Cricetulus griseus: one gene and its partners. The protein of the gene in region 2 interacts with the protein of the main gene of each other region in a pairwise test. Links are inferred from orthologs where the notes say so. Each region holds a gene or a part of one and is shown on either strand. Other genes may lie near its edges. The genes, in order: Inpp5k, Arl6ip1 and Snx10.

What was found.
Region 1: the proteins of Arl6ip1 (region 2) and Inpp5k interact in binary tests that used the Homo sapiens proteins (3 or more experiments, as listed by UniProt). The link is inferred for Cricetulus griseus from reciprocal best matches to the Homo sapiens genes ARL6IP1 and INPP5K.
Region 3: the proteins of Arl6ip1 (region 2) and Snx10 interact in binary tests that used the Homo sapiens proteins (3 or more experiments, as listed by UniProt). The two-hybrid records come from large-scale screens. The link is inferred for Cricetulus griseus from reciprocal best matches to the Homo sapiens genes ARL6IP1 and SNX10.

Annotation. Positions count from the first base shown.
Region 1 is NC_048600.1:89,088,969-89,092,717, reverse strand, and holds the start of Inpp5k (inositol polyphosphate 5-phosphatase K), read right to left. Parts: upstream 2,778-3,749; 5' UTR 2,506-2,777; coding exon 2,450-2,505; intron 537-2,449; coding exon 429-536; intron 129-428; coding exon 20-128; intron 1-19. UniProt on the Homo sapiens protein: Inositol 5-phosphatase which acts on inositol 1,4,5-trisphosphate, inositol 1,3,4,5-tetrakisphosphate, phosphatidylinositol 4,5-bisphosphate and phosphatidylinositol 3,4,5-trisphosphate.
Region 2 is NC_048596.1:82,516,267-82,519,915, reverse strand, and holds part of Arl6ip1 (ADP-ribosylation factor-like protein 6-interacting protein 1), read right to left. Parts: intron 3,592-3,649; coding exon 3,472-3,591; intron 374-3,471; coding exon 256-373; intron 1-255. UniProt on the Homo sapiens protein: Positively regulates SLC1A1/EAAC1-mediated glutamate transport by increasing its affinity for glutamate in a PKC activity-dependent manner.
Region 3 is NC_048601.1:89,821,897-89,825,645, reverse strand, and holds the start of Snx10 (sorting nexin-10), read left to right. Parts: upstream 1-1,195; 5' UTR 1,196-1,310; intron 1,311-3,749. UniProt on the Homo sapiens protein: Probable phosphoinositide-binding protein involved in protein sorting and membrane trafficking in endosomes. Plays a role in cilium biogenesis through regulation of the transport and the localization of proteins to the cilium.

The DNA of each region.
Region 1 (3,749 bases), on a different chromosome or scaffold from region 2:
CCACAGACTTTTAACTTACCTTGACAAAGTGCAGACGGGAAAGCACATCCATGAAGAGAGTGCTCCATGGGTCTTCAAAAGCAGCATCAGAAAGAAGGCTTATGATTCCAGAATTCATTTCCTGCAAACTGACCGTTCCAAGTCAGGCTCATTCCCAGGCCTGGAGGATACTGCTTCTCCCACAGACATCTGGTACTGGCTTCATCAGACTTTCAAACCTAGGATCTGATGACCAAGATTTCTCCCTTCCCTAGCGGTGTGGCTGTTGATCTTCAATCCATGACCATTGCTGACCCAGGACCAAGACACATGAGGCTAAACCCGATGAGGATGAAAGCTCCTCACCTTCATACTCCAAAATGAAGGGAGGTCAGGTTACATCAGCCCTCTACAGAGATGGAGGGCCAAGGGGTCCTTTGGATACCTACCCAATGATATATATGTCCAGATTCAGGTCTTGGCTATTCAGTTGAAGTAGGTCACTGAGGTCCACAGTGGGGGCTGCTGAGGCCACATTCCATGTCACAACATGTATACTGTAGAAAAGATATTAAATGAAGTCACAGAATGAAGGCTAAGGAATAGGCAGGAGCCTGGGCCTATTAATGGTTTCCATCACAGTGCTCACGGGGAAATGTGTCTGTATGTTTGTTAGTCTATTGTTTTTGAGACACAGTCTCACTATGTGGCCCTGGCTGGCCTCCAACTCCTATGTAAATCAGGCTTGTCTGGAGCTCATGGGGAATCACACTGCTTCTGCCTTCTAAGTTTTGGGATTAAAGTTGTATACCAGGGTTCCGGGCTTGTTTCTTCATCTTGTGGCAGGAAAAGAAGAAAAGGAGCAATAGACTATAAAGGCTTCACCTTCCCTTTCATCTCCTGAACCAGGAGTCTCTTCCCTTGAACTGGGTCCTCTACACAGCTTCATAATTGCCCATACCTCAGCAGCACCTGACACATCGAGCTGCTAGGGGGAATGCGGGAGTTTTGGTAAGGAAAAGGAGGAAATGATGAGATGGACAGCCAGGAGTTTGTTAACCCATTAGCCTTTCCAGCTATCTACACCTCATTGATCCTCTATGGCTCAGTCAGCAACTCTGTACTCCCTCTCCTCACCCTATGGATTCCTAGAGCACCAAGAAGGTATTAGAGGTTGATTGTACTTGATCACAGGCCTCAGGGTTACAAGAACAGAAATTTCAGAAAAGAACAAAATAAACAGCACATTCCCTTCCGCATGGCCTACCTTACAGATCCCTGGAACTCAACAAATTCTACCAAGGCCTTCATGGAGCCTAAGTACAAATTTCTAACTAACAAGATTTTAAGTATCTATCTCAACAGTCTACTGTCTATTGGGAAAAATCATCAGTTTGGGAATAACATCCCAATCTCAGCTCTCGACAAGTCCCAGAGTATCAGGAGAAATAATTAGCAGCTCTTAAACACCATGACATCCCATCACAAGTTCAGGAAAGCAAAGACTTGTAGAGCCCTTGAGTGAGCATACTGCTACAGCAATGCTCCAAGAAGCCCACACTGTTCCCAGGACAGAGCAAGCAGGAGCTCAAGACTCTACAGAAATGAAGCCTGTGAGTTCCAGGAATACTGAGGATCCTAAAAGGGAAGGGCAGTCTGTTCTGAAACATCTGTCCACCAGACCCTGTTCTTAGAGGTACATGTTCTAAGAAGCATGACTCGTAAAACACATTTCTTGGCTAGCTTAAAGCAACTTCCTGCCTCTCCCTGTTAATATAAACAAAATAATACAAAAACTACCTTCTCAGGCTCTCTTGACTGTTAGTTGATCTGTTTACAGTCTCCCCCTGCTGTCCAACAGAGGACTAAGGCAGGTAACCCGTTTATTCAATGGCTTCTTGTATTCCCAGGCACTTTAAGTGGATAAAGAATAAAATTCGGGATTGATCATCCATGTTCTCAGTTTTGATAATTAGCAGCGAATCCATGCACCATGATTACGCTCAATTGGACGATTAGCGGTGTTCCTCGTGATTAAAGAGCAAGCATGAGACCAGGGTTCACTTCTCTAAAGGATCTTATTTAAATCTGATTTCGGATTTGTAGAGATCATAACCGGATCAAGAAGACCCCATGATGTTCTGCTGATGCAAAGTAGGAACAAAACGTCTATTCTACAGCGGAAGGGAAGAATGTCTTAGACACTACTGTCTGTGTGCTCTTAAAAACCAACAGGACACTTGCTTGGGAAGCATCTGCAGTGACCAGTTTGGCAGTCCAAGTTTAGGACGGGCATCAGGTCTAACAGCCCATTCAATATTGGCCTGGCAGAGTCTGGGGGTCCAAACAAGGGCAGCCTTGTAGGCCTGTCCTCTTGATTCCACCGTTTTTGGTGCCCAGCCCCACAAATCAGACTGAAACGAAGACAGTGAACCGCCAGTAACCGATCGGCCTATAAATGCGTCCTCACCTGAGTACAGAGACTTTCGGTGTGCTCGGCCTCCGTAGGCACGCAGCCGACTTCATTCCCACGCCGTGACTCCTCGCTCCAGCCAGTGCGAACCGGAGCAGCCCTTCCTTGGTGGCCAGTATCAGCGGCACTGTTCCCTCCGAATTGTTTTTCTTCCGGATCCTGACTGTGTGCCTCGGCTTCCGTAGGAGGCGGATCGTGAGCGCTCAGGAGTGTGAGGCGCGGTTGGGAAAACAGAGGCGGGACTCCACTGCAGAGCGAAACGCCCAGAGGCGGAGCGGAGATGGGTTCCGAGACGAAGAGACGCGAGTCATCCGCCCCCGACGCCACACCGCCCTCACCGACCACAGTGCGAGTGGGTGGCGGCGCCCCGCACTCCCAGCCTGCCTTGCGCGAGGGCGAGGGCGCGGGGAGCGTTGCGCGCGGCCTCGGGCTGGCTGGCGACCGTCCCGTGGCGTAAAGTTCTGTCTGTCGTCTGCCTACCCTCAGAATCCGGGAGTGGGCAGCGTGGGAACGCTCAGGATAGTCTGTCCGTCCGCTCGGCCTCCCTCACTCCGCACTTCAAAGTAATTTCTGCGGTTCCTTGGGACCTTTGCATTCTTTTAAGTGACTCTCTGGTCGTCGTTTGGTTTCATTTCCCCGAGACAGTCTCGCTGTTATGTCCTGGGAGCTTGTTATGCAGACCAAGCCGAACCTACCACCTCAGAGCCGAGACATGAGTGCACCACTATGCCCAGCTCGAACCTAGTTTTGCTGAATACAAAGCACATTCTGGGATTCCCGGGCTCGGAAAATGAGCCATCAGTGAATGACACACAAGTCGTGGCTCCTATTTAGTGTATATTGGACTCATATCACTATTTACTTTGGCAGACTCACTTTGATTTATTCCCTTTAGGTCTTTGGTTATAATTTCTTGAAAGCAGAGAGATTGTTTCCCGAATTGTTTTACTAACAATCTCCATGAGATTCACACACTGGAAAGTCAAGTTAAAGATCCTGCTTTTTAGCACCGCACGGTGGGTCTCACCTGTAGTACCAACTACTCAGTGGCGCCCAGTTTCGAGAACTCACAAGCATCCTGCTACTTTAAATGTATGTCCTGGGACAAGGTGTAGTGGTGTGTATCTAATTCCAGGACGCTGAGGCAGGATGTTACTCAAGTTTGAGGCCAGCTTGAGCTGCCTTAAAAGAGTTACAGGCCATCAGGACTGTGGTGTGATCCTTTCTCAAAACTGGGGGGGGGGGGGGAGAGCAACCTCTGGTTACCAAGTCTTTAACACCTTCCTGGGGTGGATGG
Region 2 (3,649 bases):
GGGGGGATGGGGGGGGGGGACGACGACTTACATCCACTATAATAAAAAGTTATATACAAAATGTAAATTTTACCTTTCAATGATTTAGCTACCTCATATAACATTTATGAATATATGTAGGCATTACACCAAAGGATAATAAGTACTGAACTTCACTCCTAAAAAGGCTGTCACTAGACTGAAATTACAACAAACTCAGTATTTTGCTTCACATTCCAATAAGTAAAACAAACAAACAAATAAATAACAAAATACCATTTTAGGCTTCTCTTCCTTTAGAGAAAAGAGGCGTTTCCACCAGCCCACAGCTCTGCGTCGAGTTTTTACTAGATTACTGCAGATTTCATGAAATCTTTGCTGTTGTTCAGTGGTCCTAGAAAAGAGAGTTTTGTTTTTGTTTTAAGTAAATGGATACAGTACAATTTATTTAACTTTCCTGAGAAAGAATCTCTCTGGCTGCCCCTGAACTCATGATCCTTCCGCCTCAGCACTGTAATATGCTAGGATTATAGGCATGAGCCACAAGGCCTAGAACAGTTAAATTCCTGATCTACCTGCTTCTGTCTTCCAAGTGCTGAGAACATAGGTGGCTGCCTCCACATGTGGCAAGAGTTATCTTCTAAAAAAAGTAAAAATAAACAATGGCTCACCATTGAGTGCAAATTTTTAAAAATTGTGTTACTTATACTTTATGTGTGTGTTTTGCCTACATGTTTATCTATACACATATATGAAATGCCTGGTGCCTACAGGGACTAGAAGAGTGTTAGATACTGTAGAAGTAGAGTAGTTATACTGGGACTCAAACTCAGGTCTGTCCTCTAAAGGGGGCAAGTGAACTTTCCAGACCCCAGAGTGGCTACATTTTAAGACACCTATCACAGAACAGAAAACACTTTTAAAATATGCCCTTGCACATATTTTTTTTTGTTTTTTTTGTTTTTTTTTTGTTTTTTTCCGAGACAGGGCTTCTCTGTGGCTTGAGGCTGTCCTGGAACTAGCTCTTGTAGACCAGGCTGGCCTCGAACTCACAGAGATCCACTTGCCTCTGCCTCCCGAGTGCTGGGATTAAAGGCATGTGCTACCACCTCCCCTTCAAAGAAAGGGTTATTATTTGATTGATTGATTGATTGATGGTTTTTCGAGGCAGGGCTTCTTTGTATAGCCCTGCTTGTTCTGGAACCAACTCTGGAGACCAGACTGGCTTCAAATTCACAGCGATCTACATGCCTGTGTCTCCTGAGTACTGGGATTAAAGGGTTGTGCCACCACTGCCCAATAAGTAAGGGCATTTTTTAAAGTTGATGTTTTAAATAAAAATTACAGAACTCTTCTAATTCTTTTTTTTTAATTGCATTTTATTTATTTGGGGATGGCGTGCATGTGCCACATAACATGCATGTGGAGATCAGAGGGCAACTTCCCAGAGTTTGTTTTCTCCTACCATATGTGACAGACCTTGGGGAGTGAACTCAAGTTAATAGGGCTCTGCAACATGCACCTTTGCCTACTAAGCCAGCCCCTTAATGAACCTTGAACTTAGGTTTGTTTAACTATGTCCCTTTGATGTGTATGAGTCCTCATTTGTGAGTGTATACACATGAGGACAAACAACCTCATGTCAAGGTCAGTGGCTGATTCTCCTGTTCAATGCCTTACACTGTCCAGTCACAAACTTTCCTCAAACAACTGTATTAGGTCAGTTTGAAGGACACCCAGAGGTCAGTTCTTTCCTTCTATCCCAGCACTTGGGAGGCAGAGGCAACTGGATATCTGAGTTCTAGGACAGCCTGAGCTACACAGAGAACCCTGTCTCAAAAAAAAAAAAAAAAAAAAAAAAAAAAAAAAACTCTAATTGTTAGAGTTGATCTTTTAAGCTGTCTGGGTTGGTTCACATCTCTAATCTCAGTACTCTGGATGACAGACATTGTGATATGAGGCCAGAGTGGGATCCATACACATAACAAGCTGTGGACCTGCCTATCTTGGTTACACACATACTATACCCAATGTTCCCCTACATCCCTCAAAACAAACCAACGGGGACGTTGTGTTTAAGGCAGAGTGAGGTTGTGCCTTGAGGCAGTGCAGGGGTAGTTGACCAAGTGCATTGAGTAGATAAGAGTAGATTGATTCTAAACTGGGTGGTGGTGCACACCTTCAATCCCAGCATTCGGGAGGCAGAGGCAGGCGGATCTCTGTGAGTTCGAGACCAGCATGGTCTACAAGAGCTAGTTTCAGGACAGCCTCCAAAGCCACAGAGAAACCTTGTCTTGAGAAACCCTGTCTCGAAAAACCCAAAAAGGAAAAAAGAAAGTAGATTCTAGTGTTGGATACACATGATCTGTTGATCTCATTTTTATCATCACCTGATTGGTTGCTTATGATTTCTAATAGTTAAATGGTTGGATTTCTCAGAGCTCAGTATTAAGAGTGCTTTCCCAGAACACATCGTGCCCTGAGTTCTGTTCTCTGCTGGAGGAAGGAAAGAAGACATGTAATGAACAGAACCAGATATTGGAATAGATTTTTCTGTCAGCTGACATTTTCAATTGATTAGTGTTCTGCCTCTGCCCTTCATTTTTTTGTTTCCAAATAACAGCAAGTTATATAATCTGTAAAAATGAGAGCCTCTACTGTGTACCTTCTGGATCTGAAAGAACAAATTCACAGACTCTGGGGAGTTAAACTATGGGTTAAGTAAGCATATTTCTTTAAAGAATAACAGGTCAGTGTTAAGACTTGTTACTCAAACTGCTCTTCCTTTTTCATGAGGAATTTAATGCTATTATGTTTGGGGAAGTTTATGGCCTTGACATTAGCCAGACAGCAGTTGACTAACTCATAATGCTGGAGGAAAGTCTTCGGAGAGAAGCAGATGTTTGGTGGTAATAGCATCCAAGGGGCAAGTTTTATGTTTTGATTATCTGGGATGGTGTGGGAAAGAAGGAACACTATAGCCACAATGTAGCCTTGACCGTGGACAGCTTGGATGATCTGAGAAATCCTCCCACACCTTTGCCAGGCTAACACTACAGGAGAGAGGGCAGCATGGTTCTCAGCCTGATCCTTTTTAGTAGTGGACCTGTGCCACAAAATAGCAGAGGAACAGATTAGAAATGAGAAAAACATTGGCTTTCTTTCTTTGTTCCTTTGTTTCTTTCTTTTTTCAATATAGGGTTTCTCTGTGTAGCTTTGGAGGCTGCCCTGGCACTCACTCTTTAGACAAGGCTGGCCTCGAACTCACAGAGATCCAACTGCCTGAGTGCTGGGATTAAAGCCATGCACCACCAACGCCCAACTAAAACACAAGTTTTTAATCAAAGTGAAATACAGAGATGCAAGTACTAAAAATTCTTGACTCATCTGAATTTCAATAAGAGATTTTTCACATAAGAGTAATGAGGTGTCCGATGGTTAAAAAACAGTCTTCACTTAATTACAGTACATTAATCATACATAGCCACCTACCATTTATTAGAGCCAAAAATCCTTGGTGCTAGAATGGGAACAAGGTAGTCAGCCAGGCACAAAAACATAACAAAACAGGAAACACCTGACAGCACAGATGGATCGAGATAATAGATAATCCTGTTAAAAACAAAGAAAATTAACCAAAGTTAGAAAACCACTTGTCATTATTCCTGAC
Region 3 (3,749 bases), on a different chromosome or scaffold from region 2:
GGCACACGGGAGGCAGAGGCAGGCAAATCTCTATGAGTTCGAGACCAGTCTGGTCTACAAAGTTCCAGGACAGCCTGCAAAGCCACAGAGAAACCCTGTCTTGACACCCTGCCCCCCCCAAAAAAAAAAGTCAGGCTCTTAGATGTGTGTCATAGAGAACATCTGTACTTGTAAGCCAAGTTCTTGGGAGACAAGACTGGATGATTGTAGTGAGTCCCAGGCCAGCCTTGTCTACGCAGTGAGCTCCAGCAAACTTGGAAGTCTGAAGTCAGGTTCTTGATTAGTCTGGACACTCAGGATCTTAGACATGCTGCATTTTTTGTTTTTAGGCAGTGAATAATGTTACTCACTCAGACAATGATTTGAAGGTTAAAGAAACAAAAAAGTGATGGTCACATATTATCTGCTGTGAAGAGACACCACGACTATAGCAACTCTTTTTTTTTTTTTTTTTTCCAGACAGGGTTTCTCTGTGGTTTTGGAGGCTGTCCTGGAACTAGCTCTTGTAGCCCAGGCTGGTCTTGAATTCACAGAGATCCACCTGCCTCTGCCTCCCGAGTGCTGGGACTAAAGGCATGCGCCACCAACACCCGGCCATCAGTGAGTTTTTCTGCCTTTAGATTTATTCATATTATTTTATGAGTATTTTGCCAGCTTGTATTTGCACCACGTGGGTGACTGGACAGAAGAGAGTGGTGAAGTGGAGTTACAGGCAGTTGTGAGCTGCCGTGTGTGTGTGTGTGTGTGTGTGTGTGTGTGTGTGTGTGTGTGTGTGTGTTGGGAACCAGGTTCTCTGAAAGGGCGCAAAAAGTGCTCTTAAACCTGGGCCATCTTCCCAATCCGGACCACTGAGGTGTTCCATGCACACAGGAGGGTGAGATCCAGCCCAAGATGGTATTTAGGAAATGTGCGTATCTTTGGCAGATCGCATAGTTTTCTCCTTCATAGTTCATGAAAAAAAAATTACAGAGAAGTTAAGAATATTTGTATAGCAAACAATCGCATGCTCTGCGTGGAGATCCCGTGGTTAGCACCGAGTCATGCTAGTCTGTTCCCAGCCTCCCCCATCCCTCTCTGCTGGGTAGAGAGAAAGACCCACTAGCAGTGTGGCTGTCCCCACGTTGCGGTCGGAGGCTGACAGCGGCGCGGGGCGGGGCAGCGGCGCGCAGGCGGGGCGGGCGGGGCGGGCTCTGCGTGCGCTGGACGGGTGCGCTCCTGGGCGCTCGCCGCCGCCGCCGCCGCCGCCGCCGCGCCTTGAGTCAGCAAACTCCGTGGTGTTCCCGGCCCCGCGCCGCCGCCCAGGACCGCGCGTGAGTAAGCCGAGCCTCCGGGAGGGAGCTGGGCGGCGGGTGCCGTGGCCGCCCCCGCACCTGCTAAGCCCGGCCGGGCACGCGAGAGATGCTGGCGGGCGGTCCCCCCACCCCAGCCCCCTTTGAATGCAAGGCCAGACACCTTTGAGTTTAGAGGCTGGGAGGGGCAAGGAAGGTCTTTTTCTTTTTCTTCTTCTTCTTCATGGGATTGTGGGATTGATGGAAAAGGCCGCGGAGGAGCCCACGTTGATGATCGGGTTTAATGACACGGGGAAGCAACAGCCTGTTTATCGGTTCTGGACACATCACACTTTGCTAAAATTACCAGGATTGTTAAGGGGATGGTCACGGGATGATGTCTGTTTCCGAAAGGCACAAGCTCCTGGAGAGCGAAGGATTAGAAATTGAGAGCAGAGTGGGGTTTGACCTGATCGCCATCTACCCTTTCAATTTGCGACAGGTGAAACCAAGGTCCGTCAGCGGGGAGCAGAAGGGGTGCATGAAAACCCCTCTTCTCCTGGGAGTGGACTTGTGGGAGTGGCCAGAGGGGCTTGGGGGCCTTAGGAGACTCCTCCAGTCCCTGGCCCATCTTTGAGGGGCTTTTCAGGAGGTGGAGGTTACGTGTCCTGGCAACAATATCTCAACTGAGGTTGAGGAGTCTGCATGACTTCGCGTGATTCCTTTCCCTAAGGCTAGGATACACCCGGACACTCATCTCGGGCTCACCCAGTCTCTAGGAGGTGTCTTCCTCCCTTCTGGTCCTGGGGATGATGGAGCCCATGGTTTTGAGCGTATCAGCAAGCGTCTTACCACTGAGCTACACCCCAGTCCCCGATTATTTATTTATTTTTAAAGATTTTATTTATTTATTATGTATATAACATTCTGCTTCCATGTATATCTGCACAACAGAAGAGGATGGTTGTGAGCCACCATGTGGTTGCTGGGAATTGAACTCAGGGCCTCTGGAAGAGCAGTTAGTGCTCTTAACCTCTGAGCCATCTCTCCAGCCCCCCCCCCCCCCGTTTCTTTATTTTATTTTGAGATTGACTGACAGACTGTTTTGAATAACGATATAAATGTAGATATATATTTAGATATAAGTGACTATGTGAAGATGTAAAAGATCTCATTAGCAGCTACTTGTAGTTAACTGACCATCCACCTGGGTGTCTTCTGTCAGCGCATTCTTAGTTATGGAAATGGGACAGGCTGGCACTGCCCTCAGGGAGGCGTGCCTATGGTGGCCATGGGGTTGGCTTGCTATCTTTGGCCATCATGGCTCATTCTCCGCTCTGGACTGTGTTACCCACCTCCTTTTATTTCGAGAATGGAAGACCTTCAGAGATGGCTGTTCTTTCTACCTGTTTAAAGAGTTGCTTTTGTGTTCCCCTACTGCAGTTTAGAGCACTCCTGACCGTTTTCAGCCCTGGCATGGCACTCCTTTCATTTTGAGTTAAGCCATTGGGGGAACTGGTTTCTTTTTCCTCTTTTAGTTCAGGTCTGTGGTGTAACAACCACTTGTGAAAGGCAAAGAGCTACTGGCTGCCTGAGAACAGGGTCAGCCTACAAAGACTTTTATTTTGAAGGATAGCAGAGAAGGATGTTGGCTAAGATGATGGTGGACTCCTGGAACGTCCCCCCAGATTTTAAGGCTGTTATCAACAAAAGTCTTTTTCTTAGTTAACAATAGGCTCTACAGACCTTGTCCCAGCTAGAAACTATATAATGGTGTGCACTGGCCACAGCTTCTGGTTTCAGACCATTCTGAGTTGAGATCTTGGTACACTTGTTTGCTCCTCAAGTTATTGTTGGCAGAGTCAGGCATGGTGGTGCATGTCTGTAATCCCAACCCTTGGGAGGTGGAAGCAAGAGGGTCAGGAGTTTAAGGCCATCCTTAACCTTGAGTCCTTGTCTCAAAAAATAAGAAAACAGCTGACCTGGAACTCATTGTGTAGATCAGGCTGACCTTGAACTCAGAAATCTGCTTGCCTCAGCATCCCAAGTGCTGAGATTAAAGGTGTCACCGTGATTGCCCCCCCTTTTTTAGGATTTTATTTATTTATTATGTGTACAACATTCTGCTTCCACGTATATCGGCACACCAGAAGAAGATGGTTGTGATCCACCATGTGGTTACTGGGGATTGAACTCAGGACTTCTGGAAGAGCAGCCAGTGCTCTTAACCTCTGAGCCATCTCTCCAGCCCCGGTTGGCCCTGTTTTTATTTTATCTTTTTATTTTATTTATTTATTTATTTATTTATTTATTTATTCATTCATTCATTCATTCATTCATTCATTCATTCATTCAAGACAGGGTTTCTCTGTGGCTTTGGAGTCTGTCCTGGAACTAGCTCTTGTAGACCAGGCTGGTCTCAAACTCACAGAGATCCACCTACCTCTGCCTCCTGAGTGCTGGGATTAAAGGCGTGCACCA